Callithrix jacchus: one gene and its partners. The protein of the gene in region 2 binds, or shares a complex with, the protein of the main gene of each other region. Links are inferred from orthologs where the notes say so. Each region holds a gene or a part of one and is shown on either strand. Other genes may lie near its edges.

Region 1 (7,659 bases), on a different chromosome or scaffold from region 2:
AGTTTGATCTCAATTTTAAGTTATTAGGCAAATATAATTACAGAACCAACTTAGCCTAGTTATCACAATTTATAGCACATAGTACAAACTGGTGAGTAAGTGTCTTCTTTATTAAACTCAAGAGTGGAAGAGATCTCTGAAAGTGTTTGAAGAATACAATTAAAAACCAGGCTAAAGTAGTCAGTGAACAAAAAAGATCAATTTCTTCATAACAAATTAATATAATACACTATCAAACCTTAACATTATTTAAAGGAATGCCTTAAGAGGTAGGTTTTTCACCAAACAAACATCTAATATATTCATGAATAACCAAAACATTCCAAAGAAAATGATAAGCTAGGCCAGGGCACGGTGGCTCAGGTCTGTAATTCCAGCACTTTGTGAGGCCAAGGCCAGCGGATCACCTAGGTCAGGAGTTCGAGACCAGCATGGTGAAATTCTGTCCCTACTAAAAATACTAAAAAATTAGTAGGGCATGGTGGCAGGCGCCTGTAATACCAGCTGCTCAGGAGTTTGAAGCAAGAGAATCACTTGAACAAGGGGGCAGGAGGTCACGGTGAGCTGAGACTGCACCACTGCACTCCAGCCTGGGCAACAGAGGGGGACTCCCATCTCAAAAAAAAAAAAAAAAAAGAAAGAAAAAAAAAAGAAAATGATAAGCTATATAAACACTTGGTATAAACTCAATAAACACATACTATCCTAAACCTTTGCCCATTCTTCTCACAAAAAATAGGTCCAACCTTCTTCCCAATGAGTACTTCAAGCAACATGGACAGCAAAATATTTGTAGCATATAGGCCTAAGGTACATTATTGTCTCTTTAAAATTATGAACTCATCACACATACAAATGGCTCTTTAAAACGGTCCAGTAAACTGCTACACTATGCCTTAAATTGCTGTCTATTATGTACTTAAAAATATTTACTAGCAATTGGAGGTTAATACGGCAACTATTATGGGTGGCAATTATTGCTATTAAAAATATATAAATACTGTAACACCACGTGCTACTAACAACAAAATACTAAACAGAAAACATACATTAACAGATTGTAAATATTTTCATTAAAGAAAATGAGGGCTGGGCGAGGTGGCTCACTTCTGTAATCCCAGCACTTTGGGAGGCCGAGGCAGGTGGATCACCTGAGGTCAAGAGTTCAAGACCAGCCTGACCAACACAGAGAAACTGCATCTTGACTAAAAATACAAAACAAGCCGGGCGTGGTGGCGCATGCCTGTAATCCCAGCTACTCAGGAGACTGAGGCAGGAGAAGTGCATCAACCTGGGAAACAGAGGTTACCAGTGAGCCAAGAGCGTGCCACTGCATTCCAGCCTGAGCAATAACAGCAAAACACTAAGAGCAAAACTCCGTCTCAAAATATAAAGAAAATGAAAATAAACCACCATGTAAAAAAAGATGCTTTCAACATAAATTATAAAATTACAATAAATTGGGAAGGAAAAACACCCTGTGTATAGTATTTTGGCACCTTGAAGATTAGAGAAATCAAGTCCCTTTTCCTCATTTCTATTTGATAGTCCACCCCATTTTGTTCTAGCTCCAAAAAATAAAAACCAGATTTCAAAGTTTCTACATTTACAACTATCTTCACTTTCTGCAAAAAAAACAAACCCCTTAAGACAAAAATAAATTAGGTCAACAACAGATTAACTTAAAAGCTTCAAATATAGAACTAATGGTCTTCAACAGGAATTATACACTAATGTGTGTACGCAATTAGTGTGTCTCAATTCAACAAGAATTTGAGATTATCACCCAGGTATCCATAGTCAGGAAGATTCTAAGCAATAAAACATGAACATGGAGCACACATATCTGAGAATTAGAGATCACTCCCTCATATCAAAGAGTACATACTTAAATATAGTTATAGGGTAGAAAATCACTTTCTCCATACTAACTCAATAGAGAAAAATAAATATACATGTAACATCTGGAAATTATGTCTTCCCACAAGAATGAGTTAACATAACATAGAGTATACTGTTACACTTTTCAAAAAGGCAGATTTAACACACTTTTAACTGAATGATTAACTGACTGAATATATAAAAAGTCGCCGGGAAACATGATGGACAGCATAAGAAAATAGTTTTGAGTTAGAAAGGTACAGCCAAGCATGCATTTAATACTGTAGCTACAAATCTCACAGCAGCAAGAATAAGAAACACATACAATGACCCATATCATATATACACAATGGTGTTTTTCACACATTAGGAAAAGGGAATGGATGTTGAAAAATTAATTTAGGAAATATTATTCCATGCAGTAAAAAAATTAGAAAATAAGTAAAAGACTAGCAAAAATCTTAAGGTGTCTGATTGCACAATCAACCTTCGGTAAGCCATAATGAACACCTCAAGGTAATATAAAGTGGGTGGGTATTACCATGGTACAGAACTTTAATCTCTTATTTCAATCTAATATGAGTATCTAGGTAAATTCTTTATAAATACCTTCCTCTGCTCAAAAATGAAACCCACAGGCCAAAAGAAAAAAATGCATGCTATTATTAAACACATAGTGTTCTTATAAAAAAACATGCTTTATTTTGAACAAGGAATGATTATATTTCCTTCAGAAGTAACTGTTCTATACAATGTAGTTTAGGCAATGTATTTTTAATATTTCAGGTTGCTGCTGCTGTATAGCATTTTCGAGAAAAAAAATCTCAATTTGAAATCGGAAAAATGTACAAGTCAGCAGTTTAATTAATTCAGTGTTTTAATAGCACCTTATCCACACTTCATGTACAAGAGAATGAAGACATTCCACGTTCCTTTAAAAATATCTATCACCTAAGCACTTCGATGGTTCTCTATTTCAAAGTTGCTACTTAAAAAATAACTTTAAAAAATTAGATTCAAAAATGAATCGTGGTTTTAAAGAGGTTTTGGGAGAAATATCTAAAACACAAACCTTTATAGTCAGTCAAAATCAAAGTATCCTCTCCTACAAATGGGTTTCTCCAAAAGAATCTCAAGCATTTTATCTCTGCACCATTATCATCCTTACTTAAGCTTTTTTTTTTTTTTTTTTTTTTTCAAAAAAAAAAAGATAAAACAAATGGTAAACCCTAAAGACTGGCTATACATACACTTTCATTTGTCTACAGAATCTGTAAATACACAGTCATTACCAGCCAGCATAGTATGTGATAATTTGGGAGATCTCTGTACTTGTTTATTGTAATTACCTGTGTCACTGTGGTCACCAGTCACCACACAAAAACCATTTTAAATACACTTTGATCAGTATGTTTTGCCAATCTATGAAAGTCCCTGAACCTGACTGATACTAAATGACAGACTGAGGAGGGAAAAGAGGCAAAAGAGGTTTCACTCCTACATACCAAAAGATCAAGGGAAAATTATTACAATACTAAGAGAAAGAGTTACAACTTATAATTGAATTTTGAGATTAAATATCTGGATTAAAATATTTCATAAAATTTACCTGATCTTACTAGAGCGGGAGCAATAATAATGTATCACTGGGTCTTTGTAGGTAAAAATCACGTGTTGGTTTTTTGATCTGCATAAATACTGTAACACGTTTAATAAAATAACACGTTTGGAAAGTTGGCAAGAATTTGCATTTCGCCATTAGTCTCATAGAAAAAAAGCATCCATGCCACCCATAATTAAATGTAACTAATTACAATTTGAACACTAAATTATTTATCCAGTGTAAACAAGGATTAAGAGGGAAATAATGCTTCTATCTACAGCGGGGGTTACAGAAAATAATTTCCAAAATGCATGCTCTCCAAAAAGGACTCACCTCCCCCACCCAAAAAAAAACCAGGGTACACAACTTAAAGTAAGTTGGGTGTTTTTAAGGCTAAATTAAATAAACCGTTCAGCCAATTTTCCAATTATATTCTACGCTTGAAACGTAATTGCCTTACATCTGTTTACAAATCTTCGCTCAATATTTAAACAAATTCGTACTCTCCCGGGCACATAGCTATACATACAGTAACTCATGCACAAAGCACATATTTAAAGACCACGCACTGCAATTATTAGCCTAAACGCCAGATTTAACAACGTGAATGTTTTCAGAGGTAATACGACCCAATAAAAAGCAAAGATGGCATTTACCACCAAATGTCACTGCCACCGCCAGGAAAGAGTTGCTGGGTCCCTATACATTTTTAATTTCGATGAATCTAGACGCCGTCGGCGGGTGCCAGGCTTCCACGAGAACAATTGACACCCTAACTGCTTCAAGATTAAGGCAGGCGATTCAAATCCGAAGGAAAAGTTGTCAATTATCAGAGAGAGAGCGCGAGAGGCGAAGGCAGATAAAAGCGATGTTATCAAACCGCCCAGCTTGTTGCTTTTTTGTGTGTGTGTCGATTCGTTGTTAGGATAGAGAAAACAGTTTTTAAAAAGACACCGGAGGAGAGAAAGAAAAAGCTTTCTCCACCTTCCGTCGGCTCGGTGCAATGGCTTTACGGCTCTCCACTGTAGTAAGCCCCGAGAGGCAGGCGGCTGTCGATGTTTACAATCGCGGGAGCTTCGGGTGCAAGAGTCCTTTCCTGACACAATCGCATTCAATCAACTGTTTTCGGGCGGAATTGCAGGTGTCATTATGGAATTTAAAAAAATTCAAAAGGCAGGCGGGCGGGCAGGCAGCCCGATTCGACAAGGGGGGAAGAGGTTGCCGATCGGAGGCGCGGGCAGCACAAGGCAAAGCCTTCCACATTTAGGGGGGAAAAAGGGGGAAAGGGGAGGAGAAGGGGAGTGCGATTGCAACAGAGGGTGGGCGTTCGAAGTGCGACCCAGAATCCGCAGCTCTGAGACTTCCACATGCAAATTCCACGCCGAGCGCCGCGCTCACAAATGATTTTTAAAGAGCCAAATAAACACTGGATGAGATCCAAGGCGAGGGAGAGACGATCCAAAAGGGGGAGAATCGGCGAGAGGCGAACAGCGGGGAGACGCGAGGGAGGGGCGAAGTCCCGGCGGCGGGAGGAGAAAGTTGGTCGGCGGCGGAGGTCGGGGACCCCCCCTCCCCGGCACAGCCCCCTCCCCGCAGCCCGGCTACTCACCAGCGAAAAGAGGTTGGAGTGACAATCCTCCAGGCTCGCCCCGTTCGCCACCCAGTTCGCTGCCGCAGTCATGATCCTCCGCGAGCCCGGCCGCCAGAGCGGGGCATGTCGGAGCGAGGCGTCCGAGGCGAGGTCGGGCCGGGCGGCGGCGCCTCGCCGAGGAGCGCGGGGCGGCCGGGCCGCCGCCGCCGCCGCCGCCGAGGGAGGGCGCGAGGGCCGGCGGGCAGGCGGGAGGCGCCGCGGCGACGCCGCGCCGGGGGCGGCGGGCCCGGGCCGGCGGGGGGGTCCGCGGCGGCCGCGCGGCTCCTTCCTGCTCGGGCGGCGGCGGCGGCGGCGGCTGCGGCGGCTTCGGCGGCGGCGGGGGGCGCTGTCCGCGCGGCCCGGCGCCCTCCCCGCCTCTCAGGGCCGCCGCTGCCTCCCGGGCCGGCTCTGCGGGCCGGCCGCCGCCTCCGCCTTCCCTGCTCCTCGGCCGCCGCCGCTGCTGCCGCTGCCGCTGCCGCCGCCTTGTTTATCTCCAGCCACCGACTCCCCCTCGGCCCCCGCCGGCGCGCGAGGGGAGGCGAGCCCCGGAGCCGCCGCCGCCGCCTCGGAGCCGCCGCCGCCGCGGAGCGCGAACTCGCGAAGGGGGGGGTGCGGACGAAGCCAGCGGGCGACCCCGGCAGCCGAGCGACGTCCCCTCCTTCCTCTTCCTCCCCACCCCCCCCTCCTCCCCAGTCAGCCTCGCTTCTCCTCCCTCCCCGGGCTAGCTCGCTCTGACAGCAATGGCGGCCGCCGACCGCGGCTCGGCCCGCCATTGGCTGGCGCCGGGTCACGTGACGGGCGCCGGCCGCGCGGGGGGAGCAGGAGGCGGGCGGGGGAGGGGTCCGGAGTGGCGGCGGCGGTGGCGGCTCGCGGGAGGCGCTGCTGAGCCGAGCGCGGCCGGGTCCTCAGGCCGGGAAGAGGGAGGGAGGGAGGGAGACGGAAAGGGAGAGAAAGAAGTGCGGGCGGCCGGGCTCCCGGCGGGCCATGGACTGCCGGCCTGTGGCTACCGTGGGCTGCCCCGCGTGGCCGCCCCACCCCCTCGCGGTGCACGGATCGTGGCGGGGCGGGACCATGGGTCCCGGGCGTACCCGGGGCGGCCACGGCGGAGGGCGAGGGTCCCCAGGCCTGTGTCCCCGCTCTCCAGGCCGGCTGGCGTGGCGCGGCGGCCGCTCAGTGGGCCAGGCAGGGGGTCCCAGTGCTCTGGGGAGTGTGTCCTCGAAGGCTCGCGCCGCGGTCCGCCTTTTAGAGAGGAGAAAACTGAAGCACAAAGGGATTAAGTCACTTGCCCGAGATCGCACACCTGGGAAAGAGGAGTCCGGATTCGAACCCGCGCACAGTAAAGCCAAGCTCTTGGACTAGGTTTCACAGGCTTCGCCCAGGGATATTCACGGCTGCCGTAGAGTAAGCGCTCACTGTGTTCCAGGCACTGTGCGTTTAATACGGAAATGTTTATTGAACCCTTACTCCTAGTTACTGTGTGCACTCATTCATTCATTCATTGCTTGTTTCCTGAGCTCCTGCTATAGTGCCAGAATCTGTTATAACTTCCAGGCGCTGTGTTAAGGCTGTGTTGGGAGCCTCCCTCTTAGCGGCACTCATTCAATAACCAACATTTCCTGAGAGTATGTGGTCTGGGAGTCCCGAGGAGTGCTGCTATGAAGAGAGGCTCTCCCAGTCCTCAAGAAACGGATCCCCAAAAATGTGGGGAGGAGAAAACAATGTCTTCACTAGTAAGCCTCCAAACATGCAACAGCCAGCTGTTTCAGGTGGAGTCGAGTAAAAGATGAAGAGTCGATGGCTGGCACAGTGGCTCACAATGGTAATCCTTAATCCTAATCAGAGGTTTAAAACAAGCCTGAGCAAAGTAGCAAGATCCCCCCGTCGCGTCAAAAATTAGCCAGGCATAGTGGCATGTGCCTGTAGCCCTAGCTACTCGAGAGGCTGAGTGGGGAGGATCACTTGAGCGCTGGAGGCACAGGCTGCAGTGAGCTGAGATCACACCACCGCACTCCAGCCTGAATGAAAGAGAAAGGCCCCTTCTCAAAAAAAATAAACAAATAATAGAGGAACCGTAGAAAGCAGGGGAAAGATGAGAGTGTATAATAAGAGGAAAGAAGTCTTAGACGCTTCAACTGAGCTTTGGAACTACCACAAATACTGCCAAAGCGAGACTCATGAACAACATGTTGTAATGTGTATTATCATGCAACATATTGTTAACAATGAATGTCCTTACCTATATTATTTCACATAATTGGCAGAACAACTACCTCAAGTAGATACTGTTATTATTCTTAGGCTGTAAGTAGGTAAATCTCAGAGGTGTGCAGTGACATCTCCAATCTCTCAGTTAGTGCACGGCCCAAACCCAGGGCCATCTGACTACAGAGCCCAGCATGAATTCAGGAGACTCCTTAGAAAGATGCCTCTGCTGGCTTTGCCATCCTTCTAATCGAATTACTTTGATCAACATAGTTTAACTCTCCTAGCCTCATTTCCTAATCTGTCAAAAATTGATCCTGATTGCTGGCCCACTGACCTCAGG
Region 2 (5,924 bases):
TGTGAAAAGCTCTTGGGCTAAACTCGCTCTGCAAAGTGGGGGTGCACGCCCGTGGCCAACTCTGGCAGTGGGACTATCCCGGAGCGCCTGGTCCCTGAAATTGTGTTCTGGAAACCACCGCGACGTGCGCAGTTCTCGGGTCTGGCCCTGGTATCATTCCACTGAATACTAGGAAGGCCGTGCGGTAGGTATCACTATCCCCATTTCACAGACCGAAGACCAGAATGGGGAAGCTACTTGTCTTAGGCTCCCCTGCCACTCGGGACCGTGGCCATGGCAGCGTCCTTGGACACCTGTCTCCAAGGCTCTGCAGAAAGAGGAGGTGCCAAGCCCTGACCCCTGATGCCCAAGGACCAAGAGGGATGGACCAGCCCCTGGCCCCAGTGGAGGAAAACAGTCGAGGTTTTCAGGAAGATGAACTTATACTAATTCAAGGACGATAATTTTGTTCCCCAAATCGTGTGACTCCAACTTTTTCGGGGAGAGTGTGTTAAAATTTCGTTACAGTGTTTTTACTTGTCCAATTAGAAGCAGTAACCTTGGGCAGGGTGATTCAAGCTTGTAATCCCAGCACTTTGGGAGGCCAAGGCGGGCGGATTGCTTGAGCTCAGATGTTGGAGATCAGCCTTGGCAACATGGCAAAACCTCGTCTTTGCAAAAAATACCAAAATTAGCCACGTGTGGTGGTGCATGCCTGTGGTCCCCACTCCTAGGGAGGCTGAGGCTGGCTTGATCCCAGGTCAAGGCTGCAGTGAGCTATAATGGCATCACTGCACTCCAGCCTGGGTGGCAGAGCGAGACCTGGTCTCAAAGAAGAAAGCAGCAACCCAACTTGGTCCCCCAAATGTAGGGTATCTTAGCTTACCCTTGCCTTCTCAAAGGTAGCAACATTAGTACCCCCCTAGGCCCTCCTGGATACATGGAGACAGGTGTGGTAGTCCCTGCAGGCAGGGGCAGGGGGAGCTGCAGCCCATCCCAAAGCTCTAGAGATGCCGGTAGGAAGCCAAGCTCTGCACCCTAATATCCTCCAGCTGTGCCCTGTGTATCAGAGCAATGTCACGTCCTTGGGACACCACATATCAGCAGAGCTGTTAAACACGGGCACAGTGGTATAACTACAGGCACCCTACAGCACAGCTGAGTGTCAGACACTTCCACTGACATACTTTTAGTTCTCTTAACTCTGGGGTATTTTCACCCCCCAAATGGGGACATGTGCATAGGAGTGAAGAGATGGTTCGGACACACAGCTAGTGGGTGGCAGCCTGGGTTCAACCTCATCCTGCCTTCAAAGCCACTCCGCCCATGGCCTTTTCTTGGGGAAGGGGTGTGTCCTGGCACCAAGCTTTTGCCAGAAATCCCTGCTAGCTCTGAAACTGGCTTTGGGCTGAATGGAGTTTTACAGGCTGAAAGGAACCTTTGGTTTGCTCTGTAGTGCTGCATGTCTTAAGATGTAGCTGTTTTTTCATTTGTGAAATTAAGCAGATATAGGTAAGATGACCTATTCCAAAGTGAGAAACTAGAAAACCAGTCTTAGCTTACAGTTTTGGGGATGAGGGACAACTAAAATATTACCACTCCATAGCCAAGAGAGAAACATTTTTTTGGTGTCAGCACCAACCAGCTAGTAAGGCAGCTGAGGGCCAGGGCCAAGGGCTGGGCTGCCGGACACACACACAGCTCTGAGCCTCTGGGCCATCCCTTGTAAGAACTTTGTTGAGGTGGGAGTAGTCAGAGACCTGTGCTATGGAGCCTGCTCTCTACGCCAGTCAGGTCTGGGTGAGACAAGATAAACGTTCCTTAATGTGCCCCTGAATGAATAAAAGGTTCCTCCCAAATGCAGCAGCAGGCTAACAGGTGGATTTCAAGGCTATGCCCTACCCTGTCTCCCTATATCCCAGCTGTTGGAGGGTCTAGGTCTTCCTGGCTAATCCACAATCCAGGAAAGGGCTGATTTGGCAGTGAAGGGCCAAATAAGAAAAGATTCTCATACTGGTTTGTGCAAATGGGTTTTTTTATTTCCACATTTATATCACAAGGTGTCCACTTACTGGACCAAATAGCAAAGTTGCTCCCTTCTGCGTCCTGAGAACACAGAAGTCTATGTACTGTACATTCACTAAGGCTCCTTGTTTTTGCAAATCGCGTTTATGACAAATAACCATAAGGCAAACGAATCTAAAGGAATGGTTATGAGTGTTTCCAGCGTACAGACAGGTCTGCCCTCTCGCCCCACAGTACAGCATAAAACCAGTAGCACCCACAGTAACTTTTGTGTTGTTTAGGGGGGACTCTAGAAAGGTGAAGTTTTCTAGATGTGTACAGGAAGGGAAAAAAGGAAAGGGGGGAAGAAAGGAAAAGTTTGTTTGGTGGTCTGATGGAAGAGGAGTTAAACCCAAAAAAACTTAAATTTCTGCAGCATTTCTGTAAATACTGGGTTATAACTGAAACCAGATATAAACAGGTGGCTGCCCATGGAGTTGGGGTCATATTGGTTAGCCAGCTGGCCTCTCTGCCCAATGCCAGTGGCTCGCCACAGCTGAGGAGCTTCTGGCACACGATGGACAACACTGGCCTGACAGTGGCTGGGTAGGGGCAAACAGAGGCTGTGGCATGGCCCACTGTCTCTCAGACACTCGGGGCCAAATTAAAGAACAGGAAATGCAAGAGAGATGAGATGCGTGCTTCTGTTGCTGTGTTAAAGGTAACCTCTCCCACAGGTTTTCTGTGCCTGCCTGCAACTGAGGTCCCAGCATTCAGGTGCTGGAAAGTGTCCGCACCTCTTCAGGGGTGAGGGACTAACGCTTTTTATAGCTGGTTTGCTATAGAGTTCTGAACTCACTTTGCCGTCCTTCCTTCCGCACGGTCCTTCCTTCGCAATTTTGTTAGTAAACTGGTAGCAGCATTTCACAAAAGGAGAGTTTTGAGGGAAGGGTGCACAGAGAGACCACATGACTCCCGCCCCCTCCCTCCTGCCCAGGCCGGGCTCCCCGAGTTCCCAGCCGCAGGAGGCAGCTGGGCCCTGGCCACCCGCCCACCTGCCTGCCCGCCTGGCTTCTGCAAGATGGGAATGCACTTTGTGGCTGACGGGCCGGTCAGTCTAAGCAGACATAAGGCAGAATGTTCAAGCGCCCATCGTCACCGTGAGGATCGAGCGATATGCACTGCGTCCAGTCATACCAGTTACCCTGTGTGTCCTGACACCCGTTCACCCCCGGCCACTGGCTGGCCTGGATTCTGTTTAGATCGTCCTGTGTGACCTCCCGGGTCAGCCCAGGGAGGTCCGTGGGCGGGCTTTGAGGCACCAGCACGTGCAGCTGCCTGGCCCCTCGCCGGGTGCTCTCCTCCTGCTTCAGGTACTCAGACATGAAGTGGTGAGCCCCCGGGGTCTGTGCGCCCGAAGATGAGAGCAGGCTGCTCTGCCGGCTCAGGTAGGACTGGATGATCTCATTGCGTGACAGCTCCTTCCAGTTCGTCTGTTCGAAGGGGCTCTGGAGGCTGGCCTTGGCCTCCTGCTTGTCCAGCTCTGTCCTGGACGGCTGCTCCATGTGCACAGGGCTGTCTGCCCGCACTGGCTCTTTCTGGGTCAGAGGTTTGATCTGTCTTGTCATGGGGTCAAAGGTGAGCTTCCGCTCTTTTAACCGGACAGGCTTGACGCCCGCCTCGGCCACCTGCCCGTCCAAGTTAACCGTGTAGTCTCGAGGCCGGTACCTCTTCTTCTTTTTACTGTCCGAACCCCCAGAGGAGGCAGCATCACTGTCCGCCTTGGAGGAGTCTGGGGAGAAGCCTGCCCGGGACAGGAGGGGCTCGGCCGGGGATAGCCCAGCCTTGCAGCCTGGCCCTGCCAGCCGTTGGTGGCTCTCAGGCTGCTCAAGCCAGCGTACTGGGCTTTCCGAGCTGGACAGCAGCTCAGGCCGCCGCACAGGGGGTGTGGACGGCTGTGCCAGTGGAAGCGGTGACGGCACCTGTGTGGCATCAAGTGTCTGGGGCCGTGGTGAGGGGCTGGGCATGGAGCCCTTAGGTACATACAAGTTCTGCTGCCGGGCAAAGGAGCCCTCATGCCGTGAGTTCCGAGGACTGAAAGAGCAGCGAGGGGGCCCCTTGGGGTGGGGAGGCCCTGGAGTCTCGTCCACCCTGTCCAACTGCTGCAGCACTGAAGCCTTTGCCTGCAAGCAGGGCCCAGGGGGTTTACTCAGGCCTGGGGAGCTGGTGTGTGGCCGCACGGCATTGATGGGGATCTTGCCACCGTGCTTGTCGTTCTCACCACGTTCCAGGCGGCTGCCCTCCGGGCCTGCATGCCCGCTGCCATCCAGGGAGCCGGGGAAACTCTCTGGGCTCCCACTGATCCCATTGGTGGGGAGGGGGGATGAGTTGGGGACCAGGGGGTCATGGGTAGCTTTGGAGACCTTGGGTGGCGGCCCCGGGTGGCCAAGGTCACGCTGGTCACCCCGGCGCTTGCGGCTGCCCAGTCTGTCCAGCCGCTGCCCAGGCAGCCTCTGGAGGTCATTGCGGCTTTTCAGGTCGTGGATGCTCCTGGGCGGGCCGGCCGCCCCGACCTCTGGCCGGCAGTTGTGTGCGCCCCCGTTAGCAGAGCCGGTGGCCCCTGCCAGCCCCCGCAGTGCCACCTCATGCTGGTGTGCTGGCTCGATGAGCTTCTGCCAGCTCCGAAGTAGTTTCTTGGCCCGCTTGGCGAGCTCCTCGTTCTTGGTTTTCTTGCGGACGTCGTTGATGAGCTTCCCAAGCCGTGTTTCCTACAACCAGAAAGAGATGATGACATACTTTCAAGACAGGGGCTTCCCCACAAGCTGAGCCAGAAATGGTGGGAAGTGGCCCTGACTCTGAAATGACCCCATTCGCACTGAGCCCTAAACTGCCAGCTCCCCGACACAACCTCTGGGGATTTCTGGCCCTTTGTGACAATATTTTCTGAACCCAGTCCCCAGACCTTAAGGGTCACAGGTGGCTTCTTGGCAGTGCTTCCGGTGCCAGGGGGCTGTGGCCCGTCAGGTCACTGCAAGGACACTGCCAGAGAGGCTTTCTGGGTGAGAGGGTGCCGTTGCCAAGGTGACAGCACAGAGGGCCTGCTTCAAGTGGAGGGCTGGGGATGGTGCCACTCACTGGAGCCTTCCCCAAGCACACCTCTCCCGATGTCCCCCACGTGCCCACAAAGTGGGCATGCAGGATGGGATTAACATCACTCCGTCCCTGCAGTGCCCATGGGAGACCATGATCGTGGGGCACATGCTGTGACGGCACACTGCCTCTCTTGGTCCTCTGAAGCAAAGAGACTGATGTTCCCAAGGACCTGGTTTGGAGCCGCCCCCTGCCCCCCGTTCTGCCCTCCCCCATGCTGGGGTGTGGGATACTCACCTCAAGTGCCTCTTTGGTAATGGGGTATTTCTCCAGGCTGGAGATGACTTCCAGCACCGCCACCATGTTCCGGATCTGTGGAAATAAAAAGCCATTTGTTAGGTGCCTGTCCTCTCCCCCTGGGAGGCTGAGACACCCAGCCCCAGGCTGCTTGGGTCTCTCCCCAACCCCAGAGCAAGAGGAGCTGGAAGCACTGAAGCCCACACTCCAGGTAGTCTCCTACCTGCTCCCTGGGCCAACCTGGCACCCAGTGCTCATCCCCACCTGCCGTTCGACCTCCTCTAGTGCATGGTGTGTGGTCTGCCCCAAGCCCTTACACAGTGCATACCCACCCACCTACCTGCTGAAACCCAGGACTCTTAAATCAGAGCTGCTCCTGATAGTTAAGACGACCTCTACTCTGCCATATGATGGGAGTGGGAGAGGGGACACTGAAGAATTCATTGAATAAAATGCACAAAGCTTAGAAGATCAATATATAGGCCAGGAGTGGAAGCTCATACCTGTAATCCCAGCAGTTTGGGAGGCTGAGGCAGGCAGATCATGAGGTCAGG
Region 3 (7,861 bases), on a different chromosome or scaffold from region 2:
CCATGTTGGTCAGGCTCCTCTTGAACTCCTGACCTCAGGCAATCCACCTGTCTTGGCCTCCCAAAATGCTGGGATTATAGGCATGAGCCACTGCGCCTGGCCACTTTTTTTTTTTTTAATTAAAAAACAAAGAGAATTTAATTAATTTAAAAAGAAGCCACTTACCTGGTTTTCTTCTCCAGCCTGTAACAACTTTTGGTTTCTTGAAATTGCCAGCATTTCTATAAGTTCCCTACAAGAAAAACCAACAACAACAAAAAGCCTTTCACGGCATGCTGAATACCAAGGGCTGCTCCCTACAGTCCACTATGACTGTGAACTTCAACTCACCAAGACTCTGTTGTGCTGGTCACCTAACTTATTTATAAAAGTTCTACTCAATACTATCATTATATAAATAGCTATTACCTAAATACCAATGAAATATGATTGTGAATAGAAAGAGCTCTTTCTATAAAAACCTAAGCCTAATGCTTGGAAAGACTCAATAGAGGCTTGCAAAGGACCGCTATAAAGAAAGGATCAGGGAAAAGTCATAAAAACTCAGAAGGAGTCTGCCCTAAGACTGCTTGATGAAAGGCTAAGTTCTCATTTTGATTTGATCTAGAAATCAAACTAGAACTTGTAGACAATGCATTATGAGTGATTTATGCAAGAAAAACTCCTATATCTGGGGTCTACAAGCCAAATCCAGCACATCTGCGGTTTCTGTAAATATCATTCTCCTAAGACAGTCTGCTCATTATACATATTATCTATGGCAGTTTTCCCAATACAGAGGCAGAGTTGAGTTGTTACAGCAGAGACTATATGGCCCATAAACCCAAAAGTATTTATTACCTAGCCTTTGCAGAAAAAGTTTTCTGACTCCTGTCTAACATAACATGATTAGTGAATGAATATATGTTATATATTTTAAGGTAAAATACGACAATTAAGGGATGTGTGGATCATTTTTTAATGATTCTCCACTTTATTTGAATTTTAAAAAATATATTTTATTGCGTTTTAGGTTTTGGGGTACATGTGAAGAACATGCAAGACTGTTGCATAGGTACATACATAGCAATGTGGTTTGCTGCCTTCCTCCCCATCAGCTATTTCTGGTATTTCTCCCCATGTTATCCCTCCCCAACTCCCCAGCCCGAATTTTTAAAATTAATCATCTATCAGCTAAGAGGGATTTTTACACATAAAAAAATGACATCCTTTTAGAATGTTCACTTAATAAATACGCCAGTTTCCCTATATGAAAATTAGTATCTGATCAGGAAAATAAGATTGGGAAACAGTATAGCAGGTAATGTTTATATATTAGTTTCAAACTTATTGATAGATGAGACTTTTGAGAAATTATGCAGGAGGGGCAGCTGCACAACTAGCTACATGACACTGCTCTGATCAGACCAAGTGTTCGTACTTTCTCACTGGCTACCAGGCTATTTTTACCTTCAAATTTCCACCTTCCTTCCAGCTAGCCTCATACCATTTTTCTGGACCATGTCATAACTGGACCCAACCCTTCTTCCCACTACTACTTTCCCATACCATTATTTATGAATTAATCAATGAATGAAAAAAGTAGATATAAGAATGCAAAGTCTTCATTCAGTAATTCATCAAATATTTATTGAGTGCCTATTGTGTGCCAGGCACTTTCTAGATACTTAAGGTATCAAAGTGAAGAATGACATTTAAATTCTAATATAGGAGACAAGAATAACTAAGAGAAGAAATAAAACTAGAGTGATAAGGGCTGGGAAGGAAATAAAGTGGTGTTTTATTAGCGACTACTGAGTAGGCTGGCTACTTAAATAGGGTGGTCAGAGGGCAGAGCTTTGATATAAGACACGGATTAAATGAAAAACGTCAGCCAAGAGATCTGGGAGGAAAGAGCATGGCAGAAGACACAGATAGTTCAGTGGCCCAAAGATGGGATCTGAGGAGATGTAGCCAGGGCAGAGTACACTAGGGAGACGGATGCAAAGTGAGGATGTAGCAGCCAGGTAGCCAGGGGTGGGATTATGCACCCCTTGTAGTTAAGGTAAAGATTAGTGTTTCATTCTAAATGCAATGAAAGGCCACTCGATCATTTTAAACAGGGAAATGGCAGGATCTGATTTATACATTTAAACAACTACTGAGCTATTTGGTAAACAGACTATAAGAGGGCCAGAACAGGAAGCTAGGTGGTTTTTGTAGTGTTCCAGGCAAAAAAGAAAAAAAAAAAAAGATACTGATTTTGACTAGGTCCTAGCCCCAGGACTTAGTAATGGTGACGGGAGAAACATGGACAGATTTCATACATCTTTTGGAGGTAGAGCTAACAGGACCGGCTGATGGATTTAATCAATGGTGTATGAAAACAGCATGTTATGTCAACCTTTTCGTGTATGCTGTAAGTGAGACATAGAGAGTTGAGAACCTCTGGTCTAAGTAAAAGCTGGTTTCAGGTGGGGTAAGGGTGGTGCTCACTGGAGTGGGGCTATGGCAGGAGATGTGGGATAAGCCTTTCTCTGTTCTTGCAAATCTGGGAGTATGAGTCTACAGAAAGCTTTATAAGGCTTGATTTAGGGACAGGAGTACAGGGGAGGTAGAAGTCTCTAAGACTTAATCATGTTCTGTAACAGTCCAGGACAAGATGGAAACCTATGTCCTCTCCAATCGTGGAAAAAAGGCCAAAGAAAGCCCACACTCATTCTGTCTGGTTAAAGATGTGGAAATTAGAGCCCTGTCCTGCTACAAAGAAGGTGCATTCCTGGTATACTACATTAGAATCCAGCCCCATTTCCCCACAGAAATAAAATTTCCATAGGGGTTAGAGCCTACATTATTAGTGGCAATACACTTTTCAGGTAAACAGAATTAACAGGCTGGTGTGGAAATCTCAAGACTCCTATCAACATGGTTCTGCGGGACAATGAGTTCTGAGTTACAAACAGGTTAAGAGAAATCGTTTAGTGCCCGGGCTCGGTGGCTCACACCTGTAATCCCAGCACTCTGAGAGGTTGAGGTGAGTGGATCACAAGGTCAGGAGTTCAAGACCAGCCTGGCCAAGATAGTGAAACCTCATCTCTACTAAAAATACAAAAATTAGCCAGGTATAGTGACAGGTGTTTGTAATCCCAGCTATTCAGGAGGCTGAGGCAGGAGAATCTCTTGAACCTGGAAGGCAAGGGTTGCAGTGAGCCAAGACCATGCCACTACACTCCAGCCTGGGTGACAGAGCGAGACTCTGTCCCAAAAAAAAAAAGAAAAAAGAAAAACGTTTAGCTACAACTTGTGTTTCAACTTTTTAAATTCCTCCAAAGACTACCTCCTCCAATTACATTTTACAAAGTAATAAATATCCTGAAAGGCTACATAATCAGGTTAATAGTTTTAAAAAAAAAAAAACAGGGAGGGATAACATGGGGAGAAACGCCAGATATAGGTGATGGGGAGGAAGGCAGCAAACCACATTGCCATGTATGTACCTATGCAACAATCTTGCATGTTCTTCACATGTGCCCCAAAATCTAAAACGCAATAAAATATGTATTAAAAACAAAACAAAAAAACCCTAAGTTACGAATCCACTGTTTTTAAAGATGCTCAACCTAAAAATATGTAAGGTACATTTGTGAATTTTCTTCTCATTTTCATAAATGCAATCCAGACACAAATTCCATTCAGAAACTGACAAACTTCACAGATCACAGAATCGGTACACATAACTATGTCTGAGTGAGCACACGACACTTTTCTGGAAGTCATTCACATCAGAGCAGTTTCATTCTGTGAAGAAGTTCCAACAATCCACTCACCTTGGCCTCCCAAAGTGGTGGGATTACAGGCATGAGCCACCATACCCGGCCCTAATACAGTTTATTTTAAACAGTGGATTAAACACATAGCCATTTAATTTCTGGTGTCTATGTGTTTTAGGGTTCTCTTCCATCATTAAATATCATGCTGACCTGGTAACTTGGTAGTAATGTTGTGGCAAAGACTAAATTTAACACCATAAAGTGCCGATTATAAGTAGATCAGGTATATTTTAAAATACAATAGATAAGATTTATTCTAAAGCTGTCAAAGAATGTTGGCTACAGAAAAGGTGACATTTGAGCTGGATTCTGAAGGATAAATGAATCATCCACCAAATTGAGGGTAGACTGGGATTTGCACTGAAGATGTGTAAGTCTGGCTAAGGAATTTGAACTTTACCTCACTGGACAATGCAAACCTACCAACGATATAGGTTTTATATCATTTTTCTGCAGTAAAATGATATAACATGCCTTTTAAAACTGGTCTCGGCCAATATAAAAGGATAAAGTGCAGAAGCATGAGGCAATTAAAACTGGGAGGCTGCATTTAAGTAGCAGTTATTAACAGCGGAGTAGATACGAGACGGCAACTCTGAGTCACATTTTAGGAGGTAGAAGAACCAAGATAATTTACCACGCAAGCCAATGTGAGAGAGTCAAGGAAGACTTCAACTTGAGATACTTATCATGAAAAGTAACAGAATATGAAGAGTGACATCTAATTTCGTCTCCTACCTCTGCCACACAACCATCCCAAACAATTTGCAACCCCACCAAGCCAGGCTTTTGCACATGCCGTTCCATCTACCTGCTGCCTAGTGAGTCTGCCAGCTCATGCTTCCCAAGCAGCCCTTTCTTCAGGGTGCCTGTGTGCAGCCCTCTAATAAAACAGGCCCCACTCCAGTTTACACATCTGTCTGTCTCTGGCATCCAGCCTACCCTTCAAGACCCCAGTGGCTGGCACCCAAGGGGCGTTCCATAAATGTTAAGTGGCCGGCCGTGGACGAAGGGGGCTCCGACCGCGCAATTTCTTAATTTCCACGATTACTATCATTATTAAAATTCCCTCTATCGGGAAAAACCGCCGCCCAGAGTGCCAAAGGGCTGCGGACCCCACGTCCAGGACCATCGTGCACCCGAAACTCCCGCGCCGGCCCTCCCCGCCAAGCGCAGAGAACTAGCGCAAATCAAGGGCCGGCCGGGGTCAGTTCCCCGGCCCAGCTCCAGCCCGGCTCTAAGGCTCGAGCCATTACCTAGACAGGACTTCCAAATCCTCAAGCGCAGACAGCAGCCGCTCTCGTGTGCTGTTACCACTTGCCACTCCCAAGCCGCCTCCCAGCCGCTCCTTCTCCTTCTCACCACTCGAAGACGCAGCCATACTCCCGACCGTCCCGCCGCTGGCGCACGCGCAGTGCATGCTGACGCAGGGGCGTGGCGGGTAGGCAGGCTCGGAAGGCAGAAGAGTCACCCAGTGAAGGAATGAAAGCCCTGGCGAGACCGCCCCCTGTGCGCCTGGAGGCGCACTGCGGACACCGGCGCCATCTGCTGGGCCAGCGAGGGCTTTCCGGTAGAAACCTTGGGAGCGACAGCCGAACCGAGAACAAGGGGTAGACCAGAGTCTGATTCTCCTGGGCATAATGTTTTTTTCTTTCTTTTCTTTTCTTTTCTTTTCTTTTCTTTTCTTTTCTTTTTTCTTTTCTTTTCTTTTCTTTTCTTTTCTCTCTTTTCTTTTCTCCTCTCCCCTCCTCCCCTCCCCTCCCTTCTCCCTCCCCCCTCCCCCCTCCCTTCCCCCCTCCCCATCCCTCTCCCTCTTACCTCCCCTCCCCTCCCCCTCCCCATCCCTCTCCCTCTTACCTCCCCTCCCCTCCCCCTCCCCATCCCTCTCCCTCTTCCCTCCCCTCCCCTCCCCCCTCCCCATCCCTCTCCCTCTTCCCTCCCCATCCCTCTCCCTCTTACCTCCCCTCCCCTCCCCCCTCCCCATCCCTCTCCCTCTTCCCTCCCCTCCCCCCTCCCCATCCCTCTCCCTCTCCCTCTTCCCTCCCCTCCCCCCTCCCCATCCCTCTCCCTCTTCCCTCCCCTCCCCTCCCCCCTCCCCATCCCTCTCTCTCTTCCCCTCCCCTCCCCCCTCCCCATCCCTCTCCCTCTTCCCTCCCCTCCCCCCTCCCCATCCCTCTCCCTCTTCCCTCCCCTCCCCTCCCCCCTCCCCACCCCTCTCTCTCTTCCCCTCCCCTCCCCCCTCCCCATCCCTCTCCCTCTTCCCTCCCCTCCCCTCCCCTCCCCTCTCCTCCCCTCCTTTCCTCCTTTCCTTCCTTTTCTCTCTCCCTACCCCCCGCCCTCTCTCTCTCTCTCTTTCCTTCCTTCTTTTTTTTTTTTTTTTTTTGACGGGTTTCACTCTGTTGCCCAGACTGGAGTGCATGGTTGCAATCTCGACTAGCTACAGTCTCCGCCTCTCCGGTTCAAGCGCTTCTCCTGCGTCAGCCTAACGAATAGTTGGGATTACAGGCACGTGCCACGCTTCCAGCTAATTTTTGTATTTTTGGTACAGATAGGGTTTCGCCATGTTGGCCATGCTGGTCTCGAACTCCTGACTTCAAGTGATCCACCCCCCCACCCCCCTTGGCTTCCCAGAATGCTGGGGTTATAGGCGTGAGTACCCATGCCTGGCCCTGGGCCTAGTGTTTCTCAAGCAGCCATGAGAAGCTTCTGTGAAGTGACTTTTAAGCCTTTGAGGGAATTACATAATGGTCTCCATCTTATGTTAGTTTCCTCATGAGATGGGCCGGGGTCTCCGCAGACAGTGTTAACCTTTCTTTTGCCTCAATTTCCATACTGCTGTTCCAACTCTCCTGTCTGCCTCTCCTGCAGGCTGTAGCAAGCACCCTAGGACAGAACCATAATCAAAATTTCCCCCATTTAAAAAAGTGTGGTAAAACATACACAACATAATATTTACCACCTTAATTATTAAGTGGATAGTTCAGTGACATTAAATACATTCATGCTATTGAGCAACCACCCATCTCCAAAACCTTTCATCTTGTAAAACAAACTCTGTACTCACTAAATGTTAACTCTCTGTCCTTTCTTTCCCCAGGTCCTGTCAACCACCATTCTACTTTCTGTCTCTGTAAGTTTGGCTACTCTAGGTATCTCGTATGAGTAGAATCATACAGTATTTGTCTTTTTGTGTCTGGCTTATGTCACTTAGCATAATGTCGTCCAGGTTCATCCATGACATAGCCTGTGCTGGAATCTCTTTCCTTTTTAAGACTGAACAATATTCCATTGTATGTATACACCTTGTGTCTATCCATTCATCTGACGATGAACAGTTGAGTTGCTTCCACATTTCTGTAATCCATCTTTATAGCCATACGTCTTCCAACAAAATGTTTTGCTCATTACTCAGGATAATTATTGAACTGAAGAAATCAATACAATACATAAGTGGTAGTAACTTAAAATAGTTTTAAGTCATTGATGTAGCACACATTCCAAACCAGCACTGGTTGTCAACGGCAAAATACACCTTAGCCTCCTTTTCCTGGGGATAATAATGTAGTAAAGATCGCTCTCTACCAGAAAAAAATCGAAGTTACAAGCCTATTGAGAATGAGGACTCCATATTGCTATTATAAAAGACAGTCTGGGGCTGCCTCCCTTTCATGAGGCAGTAGTTCCTGCGGTCCTTTCACTTCAGGGGCTCATCCTCTACTCTGTCTTTTTGGAGGTGCTGAGCCTGACTCCTCCTGGGCACCCAGAGTTGACAACTCTTTCAGAGACTCAAGTTAAATAAATTTACTCATAGAAACTGCTGCATAATCTGGAATGCTGATTTACTCATGATGAAATGTAATAGTGTTAAACATAATTTTTCCCATAGACAAACCTACAGGAGAAGCCATATTATCACAGGATGTTGCTTGTTAAACTTGGATCAGAACAAACAAGGATAGATTAAAAATTAATGATGTAATCATGAGGCTTGGTATCTCCACAGTATAGGGATATTTGCATTCAAGAGAATGAATTATTTCTGTTCATAGGTC

The links. Proteins that work in one complex are often made in the same cells at the same time.
Region 1: MED26 (region 2) and MED13L share a complex: the UniProt entries of both Homo sapiens proteins name them as parts of the mediator complex. The link is inferred for Callithrix jacchus from reciprocal best matches to the Homo sapiens genes MED26 and MED13L.
Region 3: MED26 (region 2) and MED4 share a complex: the UniProt entries of both Homo sapiens proteins name them as parts of the mediator complex. The link is inferred for Callithrix jacchus from reciprocal best matches to the Homo sapiens genes MED26 and MED4.

What each region holds. Positions count from the first base shown.
Region 1 is NC_133510.1:119,300,839-119,308,497, forward strand, and holds the start of MED13L (mediator of RNA polymerase II transcription subunit 13-like), read right to left. Parts: upstream 5,228-7,659; 5' UTR 5,166-5,227; coding exon 5,094-5,165; intron 1-5,093. UniProt on the Homo sapiens protein: Component of the Mediator complex, a coactivator involved in the regulated transcription of nearly all RNA polymerase II-dependent genes.
Region 2 is NC_133523.1:15,189,807-15,195,730, forward strand, and holds the end of MED26 (mediator of RNA polymerase II transcription subunit 26), read right to left. Parts: intron 5,446-5,924; coding exon 5,371-5,445; intron 4,752-5,370; coding exon 3,096-4,751; 3' UTR 1,997-3,095; downstream 1-1,996. UniProt on the Homo sapiens protein: Component of the Mediator complex, a coactivator involved in the regulated transcription of nearly all RNA polymerase II-dependent genes.
Region 3 is NC_133502.1:67,841,983-67,849,843, reverse strand, and holds the start of MED4 (mediator of RNA polymerase II transcription subunit 4), read right to left. Parts: upstream 5,228-7,861; 5' UTR 5,191-5,227; coding exon 5,066-5,190; intron 233-5,065; coding exon 166-232; intron 1-165. UniProt on the Homo sapiens protein: Component of the Mediator complex, a coactivator involved in the regulated transcription of nearly all RNA polymerase II-dependent genes.